3 linked regions of the Daphnia pulex genome follow. The protein of the gene in region 3 interacts with the protein of the main gene of each other region in a biochemical or structural test. Links are inferred from orthologs where the notes say so. Each region holds a gene or a part of one and is shown on either strand. Other genes may lie near its edges. The genes, in order: ubiquitin-conjugating enzyme E2 G1-like, large proline-rich protein BAG6-like and E3 ubiquitin-protein ligase AMFR-like.

What was found.
Region 1: the proteins of E3 ubiquitin-protein ligase AMFR-like (region 3) and ubiquitin-conjugating enzyme E2 G1-like form a complex in vitro, tested with the Homo sapiens proteins (7 studies listed by BioGRID, with this or other methods). The link is inferred for Daphnia pulex from reciprocal best matches to the Homo sapiens genes AMFR and UBE2G1.
Region 2: the proteins of E3 ubiquitin-protein ligase AMFR-like (region 3) and large proline-rich protein BAG6-like form a complex in vitro, tested with the Homo sapiens proteins (2 studies listed by BioGRID, with this or other methods). The link is inferred for Daphnia pulex from reciprocal best matches to the Homo sapiens genes AMFR and BAG6.

What each region holds. Positions count from the first base shown.
Region 1 is NC_060027.1:618,670-622,268, reverse strand, and holds ubiquitin-conjugating enzyme E2 G1-like, read right to left. Parts: upstream 2,104-3,599; 5' UTR 1,933-2,103; coding exon 1,887-1,932; intron 1,685-1,886; coding exon 1,582-1,684; intron 1,519-1,581; coding exon 1,421-1,518; intron 1,356-1,420; coding exon 1,096-1,355; 3' UTR 507-1,095; downstream 1-506. Other genes in the region: probable sulfoacetate transporter SauU, read left to right, coding at 1-177, 238-334, 398-492; THO complex subunit 6 homolog, read right to left, coding at 2,366-2,452, 2,514-2,601, 2,667-2,821, 2,893-3,055, 3,123-3,284, 3,355-3,588. UniProt on the Homo sapiens protein: Accepts ubiquitin from the E1 complex and catalyzes its covalent attachment to other proteins. In vitro catalyzes 'Lys-48'-, as well as 'Lys-63'-linked polyubiquitination. May be involved in degradation of muscle-specific proteins.
Region 2 is NC_060023.1:11,638,797-11,642,830, forward strand, and holds the start of large proline-rich protein BAG6-like, read right to left. Parts: upstream 2,807-4,034; 5' UTR 2,541-2,806; coding exon 2,472-2,540; intron 2,403-2,471; coding exon 2,285-2,402; intron 2,216-2,284; coding exon 2,063-2,215; intron 2,001-2,062; coding exon 1,772-2,000; intron 1,713-1,771; coding exon 1,271-1,712; intron 1,209-1,270; coding exon 327-1,208; intron 259-326; coding exon 4-258; intron 1-3. Other genes in the region: transcriptional adapter 1-like, read left to right, coding at 3,121-3,188, 3,248-3,284, 3,344-3,631, 3,699-4,034. UniProt on the Homo sapiens protein: ATP-independent molecular chaperone preventing the aggregation of misfolded and hydrophobic patches-containing proteins.
Region 3 is NC_060017.1:3,098,089-3,102,335, forward strand, and holds E3 ubiquitin-protein ligase AMFR-like, read right to left. Parts: upstream 2,806-4,247; 5' UTR 2,533-2,805; coding exon 2,263-2,532; intron 2,188-2,262; coding exon 1,930-2,187; intron 1,854-1,929; coding exon 1,607-1,853; intron 1,536-1,606; coding exon 1,462-1,535; intron 1,393-1,461; coding exon 1,249-1,392; intron 1,155-1,248; coding exon 1,031-1,154; intron 976-1,030; coding exon 758-975; intron 691-757; coding exon 352-690; 3' UTR 324-351; downstream 1-323. UniProt on the Homo sapiens protein: E3 ubiquitin-protein ligase that mediates the polyubiquitination of lysine and cysteine residues on target proteins, such as CD3D, CYP3A4, CFTR, INSIG1, SOAT2/ACAT2 and APOB for proteasomal degradation.

The sequences.
Region 1 (3,599 bases), on a different chromosome or scaffold from region 3:
AGCCCGTTTGCAGCAGGTGTGTTGCTCCTACCTCCGCCCTACTGCTTTGCATCTCTGCTGATTGCGTATCTTTTTGCCGAAATGTGGTTTGGTGTACTTTTCGCCATTTTGATCGAATTGGTGCCATCCACAGCGTGTTCCTTCGTTATTGCTGTCTTCTTATTCGTTATGAACAATGTATTAAAGTTAAATTTTATTTTATTATTAGAAATGATAACTTACATGCAATTCTAATAGGTTGGAGGTAATTTGCCAGTCATCATTACTCCAATCAGCAAGCTTATGGGATACAGGGAGACTCTTATTCTGTTTTATCCAGGATTCTTCTTGATCAGTAAATTTCATAAAATAATTTTTTTTAAATCTATGGGATAAGAAATTATGTAAATTTGAATAGGTGCTGCTCTTTTCGGGTTACTGGGAATTGCTTTGCGCAATTCAAACGAAGGACGCAAGAAATCCTTAACTGGAGCTGAAAATTGTGAATCATAATGGATTGCTCAAAATACAAGGCCTGAATCGACATTTATTCTTGTCAAAAATTGCTTTTCAGACGTGCAAAAACACGCACACACAATCACCCGTATGGGATAAATTGAAGGGTGACGAGTAAGGAAATGTTAATTTCAAAGATGAGGAAAGAAGGAAGAAAACTTGCTTTTAAAAAAATATATAAAATGACAAGATATCACGAGGTGAAACTACAAGTTGTGGTGACATAACTTGTTTGAATTTTGTTTTTCTCTTGCATTTAAATAAGGTTGGAGAATTCATTAGTTAAATTTTTCGGTTTGCAACAGGCAACTAAGTTTTCATCAGAAAATTTTAATCCTAGATTTCATGCATGGCCTACCTTCATGACATTCCTCTGAACATTTCGTTTGTGAAGTTTTCGAAACGTTTCTTTTATTATTTTGTTTTGTATAGAATTCAAAGCAATATAGAATCGGAGAGGAAAAATAAGACAAATGAGCGAGTTTGGAGAGAAATCCTTCCTAAAATTCAGTTAGGCAGGAGAAAATCCTGTCGAGGGGGCTTGACACAACTGAATTATTGGATGACATTACACTGCCTATTTCATCTTTACTCGGTTCCTTACAACATTTCTTCTTGACTCCGGCGAACGCACCTTGCCACCTTCCTTTTGAATTCTGGGAAGTTCTCTCGCCATTCTTTGGCTGCGTCTACATTAGCCGGGCTCTGATCATTGGGGTCTGCCAGCATAGAGATGACCGAGATCATAATAGTTTCCACAGTGTGAATGGGTAACCACCGCTCACAAGCTTTCTCGTAACCCCACTTGTCATCTCCAGGCTCATGAAGTATAGATATGCAAACATCACCATTCTTCTCAACTATTGGAAATAATATAATTAGATATACATAGATAAAATAATGAATTAAATAAAACACAACTTACTATTAGGGTGCCAAATCTCTGTAATGAACTTCATTTTGGGAGGCCTCAGCGGGTACTCTTTGGGGAAGTAGATGTGTGCTTTGAAGAACCCTCCCTCACTGTCAAATTTCAAATGATAAAAATGATATTACAATTCATTAAAACATTAATAAAAAAATTACTAAAGAGTGTCGGGTGGTCCAATGAGCAGGACTTCCCATCGATAAATGTCACTGTCATCGATGAGTCCAGCAGAGAAACCCTCAACAGGGTTCTTGTTTAACTCTGCAAAAATGATGAAATGACAAATAAACGAATGTTAAAACAACACTTAAACTCGATAAAAAATTTCAAGTCAAGCATATAACAAACAAGAAAGCCGTCAGCCAACGCCATTGAATGAGTGAAACTGGTGAAACAAATAAAAAGTACAGCGACTCGCACGCTCTTCATCTTACATAACCTGTTCCAAGAACAACTGAATTACCTGCTAGCTGTTTTTTAAGAAGTAATGCTGACTGCAATTCGGACATAATGAAATCAAAACGTAAATTTGTTGAGAGGAACTTGAGAAGTCTTCTCTCAAGTTGAGAAGTCTTTCCAAGCACGTTGCTTGCTTCGTCCTAGCCTTTGACGTTGCCAAATCTCCTTCCTTCCTCTAGAGCTCGCGCGTTGTTGGCCAATCAATTTAATCACGGCCAGGTCACGGACCAATCTCCGTCAATGCCGTCAATGCATGTTTTATAAATTTTAATTTTTTTTAAATTGCACTCCTAAAATAAACATTGATTCAATAAACCCAGAAATAAATTATCACGATGTATTTTCTTGTGAACATTACTCGATATAAAACATCACAATTTGACATTATTAATCTAAAGACATGGCAGATGTCTTTGTTTTTTTTTGTATAATAATTGATGGAAGGGCAAGCGAGATGAAAATGTTCAAATGACGATACATAATTCATGAAAGACAACGAATCACTTGATCTTGTAGTTTAGAACTGGTGCAAATGTCAATGTCTCCACCGGATCCGCCGACGAATAGCAACTAATATAACAATCCAAAGATTATATTTGTTTTTCATTTCATTATCATAATATTTTTTTACTTTATTTGCATCCTTTTTCTGGAGGCAAATACTGTAGACTCTAAGGGGACTTGTAGGCATTTTGACGGTAATATCTCCCGAAAATAAGCTAAAAATAATTGACCCAGCTCACACATTAGTGTCAAGGGGGAAATTTAAATTTTTAAAAATTACCATTGGTATACAAACGGTCCATCTACGCCGACGATTATATTGTCTTCGTGAAACATAACGTTGTTAACACCATGGACGTCTTCTTCGAGTAATACTCTACTCATTGTCAAAGATCGTAAATGATAAAGTCCTAAGTGCGGGCCTCCTCCACACACCTATGATATGCGACAAATAACAACTGTAGTGATTTCTCATCGATTAGATTACTTCCTTAAACAAGACTTACCAACCAATCTTCATTCATAGCAACAGCACCAACCCATTTTCCCAGATGGGGTCGATTCAGTTTAGACTCCAAATGTGGTGTAATTACGTGATTAGGTTTTGATTTTCGAGTATCCCAGATGCATACTGTTCCGTCTTCACTTGCACTTGATAGCTGATTCCCACTATCACACAATAAAAAGTAATTAATGTTTTTATGCAATAACTTGAATTGTAACTACATCTACATACACCAGGGACATTGAGTGAATGAAATCAGTATGACCAGAGAAGGTTTGTTTAACTTTCCCATATTCAAGATCTACATGATGAATATTGTTGTCTCCACAAGCAACAAAAGTTGAGTTTTCACCGTTAATCATGCAATCTACAGTTTCTTTAGTGCCAAAGTCACTATAAAATTACATAAAACCAACAGTTAATTATGATAAATGTAATAATCAGAATATTCTAATATGGTTACGTTGGCAAGCGAAGATCAACTTTCCAGCAAGGTTTCACCTTCTCATCACTATTCTGTGGAAGCACCAATTGATTCCAGCTAAATGCCTCAATACAGTTCTTGCCTCCAACGAGTAAGTTATCATTTAAAGATGTTATAGCTTGCAAAGGTTTGGTACTGACAGAAAAGCATTTCTGTGGTAATGTGAGGCTTTCACGTGGACCCTGTTCATCTTCGGCATACAAACTTTTGATACTAGGAAGAGA
Region 2 (4,034 bases), on a different chromosome or scaffold from region 3:
CACCATAGTCATAAAGAGGTCAAAGAGGAACGACTCGCCGGCCGTGTAAGTGAAATCAGGAATGTTGCGTAAGAAATGGGCCACCGTGTTGGGCGACTGATGGCCACTCACCACACCCGCAACTTCTTGCATGACTCCCTGGAGCAAACTACTAAACAAGGCGTTGGTTAACACTGGATTAGGGCTGCTGGATCCATCTCCACCACTCGTTCCACCTGCTACTACCCCGCCTGATAGTACACCGCTATTGGCCGTCACCTGAATTTCCATTTAATGACCAATCATTATCAATGTTTTCCTCTCGCAATTTTCAATGCCGCAATTACCTGACGAAACATTTCGTTCATAAATTCGTCGACGGAGGCCGGAACGGCTGTCGGTTGATTTCCAGGGCCTGGTGGACGGGTTTGATTGAGACCGGGAAAAGCTTGTGCCGCCGACGTGGAAGTGACAACCACTGGGCGTGGTCTGGCTCGCTCAGTGTCGGGTCTGGATGAAGACGAGCGGGTAACATGTCGAGAATGACACGGTAAAAAGTCGTCAAATTCGCCCAAAGATGTTGGTGATTGCCCACGAGACGCTTGTTGATCTTCCTGTTGATTGTTGTTCGAGCGAACTTCCATAAAGAGCGACATTGGATGCATTTGACCACCTAAATTGACAGGGGTCCAGCCTCCTTGACTCGCCATGGCTAAAGGCAAACGTCCAAACGGGTGCGGTCCTCCCCTGACCAGCATTTCAGGGTGCAGCATTTGGACTGAGGCTCTTGGAGCTGGGGGATTCTGCGCCGATGCATTAGCTACACCCGTTCCGGTCGTTCCAGCAGCCCGCCAACCATGAAATGTCGGATTTGTAGTTGGAGGAACTGATGGATTGGCAGCAGTAGCTGCAGTGGGTGGGCGGGTAACGTGTCGGATGAACTCATGAGGAGATATTCTTGTGGGCAATCGCGGAGGAGCTTGCGCTGGTTGCGGTTGAGGAGCTGTAGCGGCCTCAGGAGCTGCTGGGTTAGCCTGTGTCTGAGGAGCTCGGTGGGTATGTGTAGTCTCGACGCTGATTGAAGCGTGAATGGGTATGGTCGATGAAAGAACTTGTTGGTAGACGTAGGGTCTAGCACGGACTTCACGAGGAGGGGGAGTTCCAAAGTCAACCATTAAATCGCTCATGGCGTGAAAAGCGTGGGCCAAAAAGTGCAATCCTTCGGCTACCTTTTGGATCAAAAATCAATTGAAAAACATGGAAAGGAAAATATAATATGATTTTACTGAACCTGGTTGTAGGTGTGTTGTGCTTGCCGGTATTCAGGTGATGTGCTGTCCAATACGGGATCATCTCTGAGGAGCTGACGGACGGTTGTCAAATGAGGGCGAAGATCCTGCTGGATCCGTTCCATATCTTCGATGACATCGGCAAAGACAGACACTCGAGGATTTCGAATTTGCTGTTGTCGAGGTTGTTGGTCACCAGGAGGAGCTGCAGCTGACGACGGAGCTGACGAAGGAGCCGACGAAGGAGTTGCAGATGGGGTGGTTGAAGGAGGAGTTGTTGAAGGGGGTGTTGTTGAAGTCGGAGCTGTAGGACTTACGCGTTCGCTCGCGCCACTGCCACTCTCTGGTGGATTATTTGGTTGAGGCCCTTGCACCCGAAAACCAAACGATCCTTGAACTGCTGGTGATCCATTAGGTCCTTGCAACACGGCAATATTGTTTGCCCTGATAAAAAGAAACGTAACTAACATTTTTAGTTTTTTAGTTTGGAGGTTTGTCATTACCCCAAGGATTGAACAGTTGAAAATGCAGCAGCTATAGCAGTGGCAGCCTGTGCTTGAACCATTTGTATGGATGAGTAGGGTCCCTCAGCAGTATTATCCATTGTAAAGAGTGAACCAGTGCTGGGAACTGAACTGATCCTTCCCAAACTCTGTGAGGCATCCTCCAGCATGTGTCTGGCTGTATTCAAACGCAACAGAGAACTACTTCCGGCTGGAGCTGGTACTGAACCTTCATTTGATCGTAAACATTGTTATTGAGATTTCTACTTTTAATAATGATGAGAAATTTACCAAATGAATGATTGGCACCATTTTGAAACCCTCTGTCTAGGTGGTAGTGAATGTTTCCTGGTCTAGATCCTTGAGTTCTTGGTGGTCCTGAAGGAGGATTACCAACTGTTGGAGGTGCTCTCTGGACCAAGTGAATGACTTTTCCACTCAGGTCTGTAAAACACAAAAACATTTACATGCCAATCATTTGTTTTGAGCTAGGAAAGAGTATTTTCAATTTACCATATTCACTGAGCTTTTTGTCATCTTGAAGAACTCTGCCACAGTAAATCAAACGCTGAGTCTCTGCTGGTGTTCCTACATCCCCAGCAATGTGTTCTTTAAGTTCCTTGACTGTGAGCTGCAAAACAGAAATCCAGTTAGTTTCCCCTATCTAAAACTCACGAGTCGTTTCTTTTAATGGTCTTACCTCCTCTGAAACTGTGAATTTATGATTACGCGAATCGAGGGTTTTGACGGTAACTTCAATATTTGCCATTTTTGTTTAGCTTTCACCACCTCGAGTTCCAACCTCGCTGTAGTTTGGTGACGATACAGACACACTAATAATAATTATTCGGTTTCAGTATTTTTTATTTTACCGATCTAACCGGACGGCTCTGAACCGACGTCAGTTGTGTAATGGGTGTCGAAATGTAAATCTCTAACGTGGAAAACTGGAAATCGGGCCTGTAATAATACACGATAACAAATAGAGGCGCAACTGTCTCCACATCGAATCGACACGACACGACACAGCCGACAATTCATAGGCTTACGAACCAAGTTGTGTTACAACGCCACCTATTTCTCTTGGTTTTAAACCGTAAAAGAGGAATTCACTTCAATTTCATGATAATTTGTACATTTTACGAACAAGATTTTATCTAATTTTACACGTTATATTTATCAATGACAAATTCAAGGAAAAAATTATTTTATGAAAATCAATTCCTGGAATGAGCACCATCTTTTGGTGGTTTTCGATAGTCGAGGCAAGACAGGTGTAGACGAAATCCAATGGCGAGTTAAATCTAAAAAAGTGAGCGAAGCAGTTCAAAAGTCAGAACACAACAACAATGAATGCACTTGATGTTAACGAAGCCAGGAAACGGTTGGTGGATGTTTTGGGAGATTCTTCTAAGAAGTAAATAAATCAGATTTGATATTTGTGGTGGTATATCTCTAATATCATGTTTTATTTAGTTATTTTGCCCACCTGAAATCGTGGTTTTGTATGAGGGTAAGAAATGTTTCTTTTATACTATCCATTCAGTCATAACTGACATTCTCTCTATTTAGACAAGCAAAGAAGAGTTTGATCGCCAAGCCAGATTGTACCTGAAAGTAGACCAAGTTCATCTTCACAATGAGTTTCTTTTGGCCATTGTTACAAAATGTCAAAGCTTGTGCCAGCCTTCAACCTATGTCTATCATGGTGTGAAGCAAAAGCCAATTGTTGTCACTGAAGTGAACAAAATCAGACCACATACCATTCCTCTACAGAAACGTAATTCTGTTGAAATCAAACCGATCACTGTGACAAGACAAGTTTACCCAAAGAACAAGCCTCTCACTGTCAACTTTGATGTAATATGTCTTAATTATTGGAATTTTCATTGGAGACCTTGATTAACATAATTCTTTTCTTATCTAGAATCGATTCCAACCAGTGAATCCAGTTTCTCTGTTACCATTTTCTGCTCCTTGCACTGTAGAGAAACCACAGCTTCGTTACTGCAGCCAGGATCTAATTTTACCTGACGCTGGACTCGTTCACGGTCGAATGCTAGTAGCAGCTTGGGATGCTGGTTTGGATCATGGTTGTGAAGACAAAGCCATCAAACTGATACTGGCAGCTACCAAGCAATTTCTTAAAGAACTGATAATTGCTATCATAACAAACCGGAAAGGGTACCGCCTTCGAGAGAACAAAGTCATCTATTCGGTTGGCCAACCTACAATTAATCCGTGGCTACACAATTCATGGTCC
Region 3 (4,247 bases):
AAAAAATGTCACACATTTCCGATTTCGTCCTCTACATGTTTGGTAATCAAATGTTACTATTGATTGCGCATTCACTTCGTCGGTAGTGAATCAGTAAAATCACGTTTGTAGGCCCTGTTTGACAGTGAACGTCTGTGTGATGGGACTAGCTTGCGGCATAGAGAGGGTTTTCTTCCACGCCCAGTCGAGCGAAGCGGTATTTCGTAATTATTAAAAAGGCACTATCTTTCTACTCATAATTTACCTTGCCAATATACAAACAGGTTTTTTGAATTATGAGATGCACTAATGCATAATTTACGCACTTTAGGATCAATAACAAATTAGAATCACACGTGTATAGCAAGAAAATCAACTTTCAATGATAGTGGAATTGTTTTCGAGTGCTTGTCTCTGAAGAAAGCGATTTCGAGCTTCCGCGATTAATTCATGCTTACGACATTGAAGAATGTGTTGTCTTTCTTGCGGATCATCAACAAAGAGCTTCTCTGGTTCCTGGGAAACATCAAATTGGTTTTCTTGCCTGGCGAATGTTGGCAACGTAGATAGACTAGGCTCTTGTTGAAAGCTGGGAAGTGTGGGCAGAAGACGACCCTCTAATATATTCTCAACTGTTAAGTCTACTGAGCGAGTTTGCCGTAGATCTTCAACGATAACAGAAAACGAATAATCGGGAAACAATTGAAGTACCTACAACGATAAACATTTAAATTGTTGAACAAGAATTAGTAGAATTTTATGATAGATTTCGTCACACCTGATCAGCTAAAGCTTCCAATTGAGAGTTTTCTGCAGCTGCTACTACCGGAGTATCAGTGTTTTGTTGAAACAGTCGACTCCAGCCCGTCCACGATATAAAACTTGCAGTTTCCCGGGGACGTGAAGACGAAGCAGTTTCTTTCGATCCATCTTCTAAAAGTTGGCGTCGACACGTAGGGCACGTAGGATCCTGTTCCAACCAGTGCAACAGACAACCTATACAAGTATAGATAGATGAAGGATTGCCTCATTAATTGTTATGAATCAATACCATGATGAAAATGATGACCACACGGCAACCGTCTGGCTACAGCTGCTGCTTCCCAGCAAATGGCACATTTGTTATCCTCCCATTCAGATTCGAGTTCGAAATGGAGTGTTTCCAAGGGACAGCACTATTATAACAGAATAAATTACTAAATGATTAAAACTAGAGACTTGGCAGAAGAAGGGGAGATTAAGATATTTTAGATCGACTCGAGTACAAACCAATTCCACCAATTTCAGCAACCGTTTGTAGTTCCCGTGTCGCCGGAGACGTCCACACAGCTGTTCGTAGAGCACTCGCAGTTGCATGAAAATGACCAAAGATGCCATAGAGAGCAGCATATTCGCTCGCAGAAGCATGTGAATCTAAACGAAAAGAGACAAAAAAGGGGTTACCGAAATTCAGTCGCATTGCAGAAAGCAATTTCGTCTCACATGATGTGCCAAATCCACAACGAGGCATGAAATCTCCACCGCCAATTCCACGTAGTACGACGAAGGACTCCACCCTATGATCCAACAATCGTCAGATGTTTGAGCACATCGAGAGTCTCTGTTGCGAATGCGCAACTCAAGTAACCTTGAGAGATCTGATGGATGGGCGGATGACAAGACTGCAGGTAGAGGATGTATCTAAAGATAACGTGGGTGGTACGTAAAGCCAAGAGAAGACATTCCGGGGCGACCAAGGCAAATGTAATCCATCCAGCGCGTTGTCCAACGGCGAGGCAAATCAAAAATAATAATCCCGATGCCACCAGAATCGATCCCAGCAGGGTAAGCAAGCGGATGTGTCGATTTCGAGGGGTACATGGAGTCATAGATAACTATAATTTCGCCAAACATAAGATAAATTACAATACCTGTTTGAGCTTTTAAAAAAGAAAGATAAAATCCAATTACATATTCAAATCTGTCTTGGCAAAGTTGAGCATGAATGTGTAGAAAGCCAATAACAGAAAACCAGGACCCCCATAATATAACACCTTCCATACTTTGAACATTTTTAATGCCAAATATAAAAATAAATTTGTAAAACACAAAATTCCAAAACTTGTCTTTGATGTGCTGTAGTTCAGAAACTCTTAGTTCCCCAAACACCTGCTTCTGCAGCCAATTTCCAAATAATACAAGGAGGCAGTAAGCCATGTTCACAACAATCTGTAAAGGATAGAAGATAAAAAAGGATTAAAGTGTTGGATATTGACTAATAATATAGGATGGCCATGTTCTAACCCAAATGCAGAGACTGTCATGGATAGAAAATGACACAATATCTTGAGCTCTGGAGCTGAGCCAGTAACGAGACAGGATGTTTGAAATAAATGCTTGCAAGGAGTTGGGAATCTCTTGGCTGCTATTCGTTTTAACAAATTGCATCCTCCATTCAGGGTTTTGTGTTTTTTCTGCAGCGTAGTGAAGAGACAAACCCAAAAGAGAAACACTGACTACCGCGTAAGCTTCCAAACTCGGGAGAGGTAGTCTCTCAAGTAGTAAGACAGGCATGTTGTTGTTGTTGACACAGAAAAATTGGGTTCACAAGACGACAAAACTACTAACAAATCTGGGGTGAAAATTGCATTTGAAAACATCAGCAGAAATAACTAGGATTAGCTAGCACAGCAATTCAAGGCAATTTCATCTTGATAACACTGCGTTATCTAACGACCATTTCGATAACAAGTGCCTTGTCAAATGATTCAATAATCCGAAAATGTGTCAAAACTCTGATAAGGCGGGTAAGGCTAAACAGCATCTAGTACACGTAAACACTGCAAACGGAATGAAAAAAAATTACTGACGTTTTGGGCGTCAACCTCAAAAAGTTCCAGCAAACTATTTTCTAGCAAGGTCAAAAATATGCAAAAATTACAAGGCAGATTTCGTCTCGCTATCCCCAGGGGAAAAAATGTATTCAATGTCAACTTTGCATACATGTTCTCAAATGTAGATGTAGACTGAATTGCGCTCTCGGAGACTCGGACAGTCAAGCTAATAAATATTCAATTATTCATTACGCATGTGATGCTGGGACTGGGCTGAATCTGTTTTTAGATCGACGAATACTGGTTTGTTATTAAAAATGAAAAAGATACGTCACAAGTCTGAGTAGATTTTATTGTTTTTACTCAGAAACAACTTCAATAAGATCCCTTAATAATTTTCTGAGATATATTCGCTAAATATTCCGCAACATTCTCCCGCACCAAAAATGCTCAGTTTTATGGCACTGCCCTAAGACACGCATAAGAGTACTCAATTACGCTAATCTAAATTGCACTCCCGAATCAACCTTGAAAAGAAAATGTATTCACTATTATTATTTCTGCTTTGATGGCAACGCGTGATGGAAGACAGAAAAAAGGGAGAAACATCAGAAATAAAACGTTGTCTAGCTGCATGTCTAGCCGATTTTATCGTCTTGTTGGGCGGTTATGAAAAAAGTAGCGTGTCATTTCGTACCAGATGGGGACCGGAAGAAGGTGTCCTTGCACACACACGGCACTGTTATAACGCCTGATTTGCGTCCTCAACATTCGTTACAATAGGGCGTCAGCTCTGCAAAGTAACTGAACCGTTAAATTCTGTAAATGTTCACATTCGAGACAATTTGAATCCACTACATACCAAAGTCTTATCGCGTACCTCCTGATGGTCACGACAGGTCAAGGTTTCCATTTGAAATTTGCGCCCTGTTTCGCTTTTATCCGATGTAGTGGTAATCCTTCAATATAAATAAATGAAGCAACAATAACTTTGCGAAAACAAGGGATGGCTAAGTAATTGAAGTGACTTTTGAAGTTCATTTCATTTTCTCTTTCTCTGCACTTTAAAGAGAATCTTTTTTTTTTTTTCATTTTGGCTCTATTCCAATTTCTTATACTGTAGCGTTTTACAACACGCATTTCACAAGCAGTTAACATTTATGTTTATCATGTTAGTGTTAAGTTGTTATTTGCGAGGTTATTTGGTTGAGCCAAATTTGGATTATTGGAATTCAACAAGATATGTTTGCGGAAAACGCCGCTATACAGCTCCCAGCATTAAATGGGTAATATAGCTTCAAAGCCGAATTCTGGCTATCATTCCAATTATTTTTCAGACGAATTAAGACCTATTCTTCGTAGACGACCTTCCAACCTGTCAAGTAAAGAAATATGGAATTCTTTTCTTTTGATTAAAATTCTATTTTATAAGTTGTATTTCTTAAAAGACTGTTT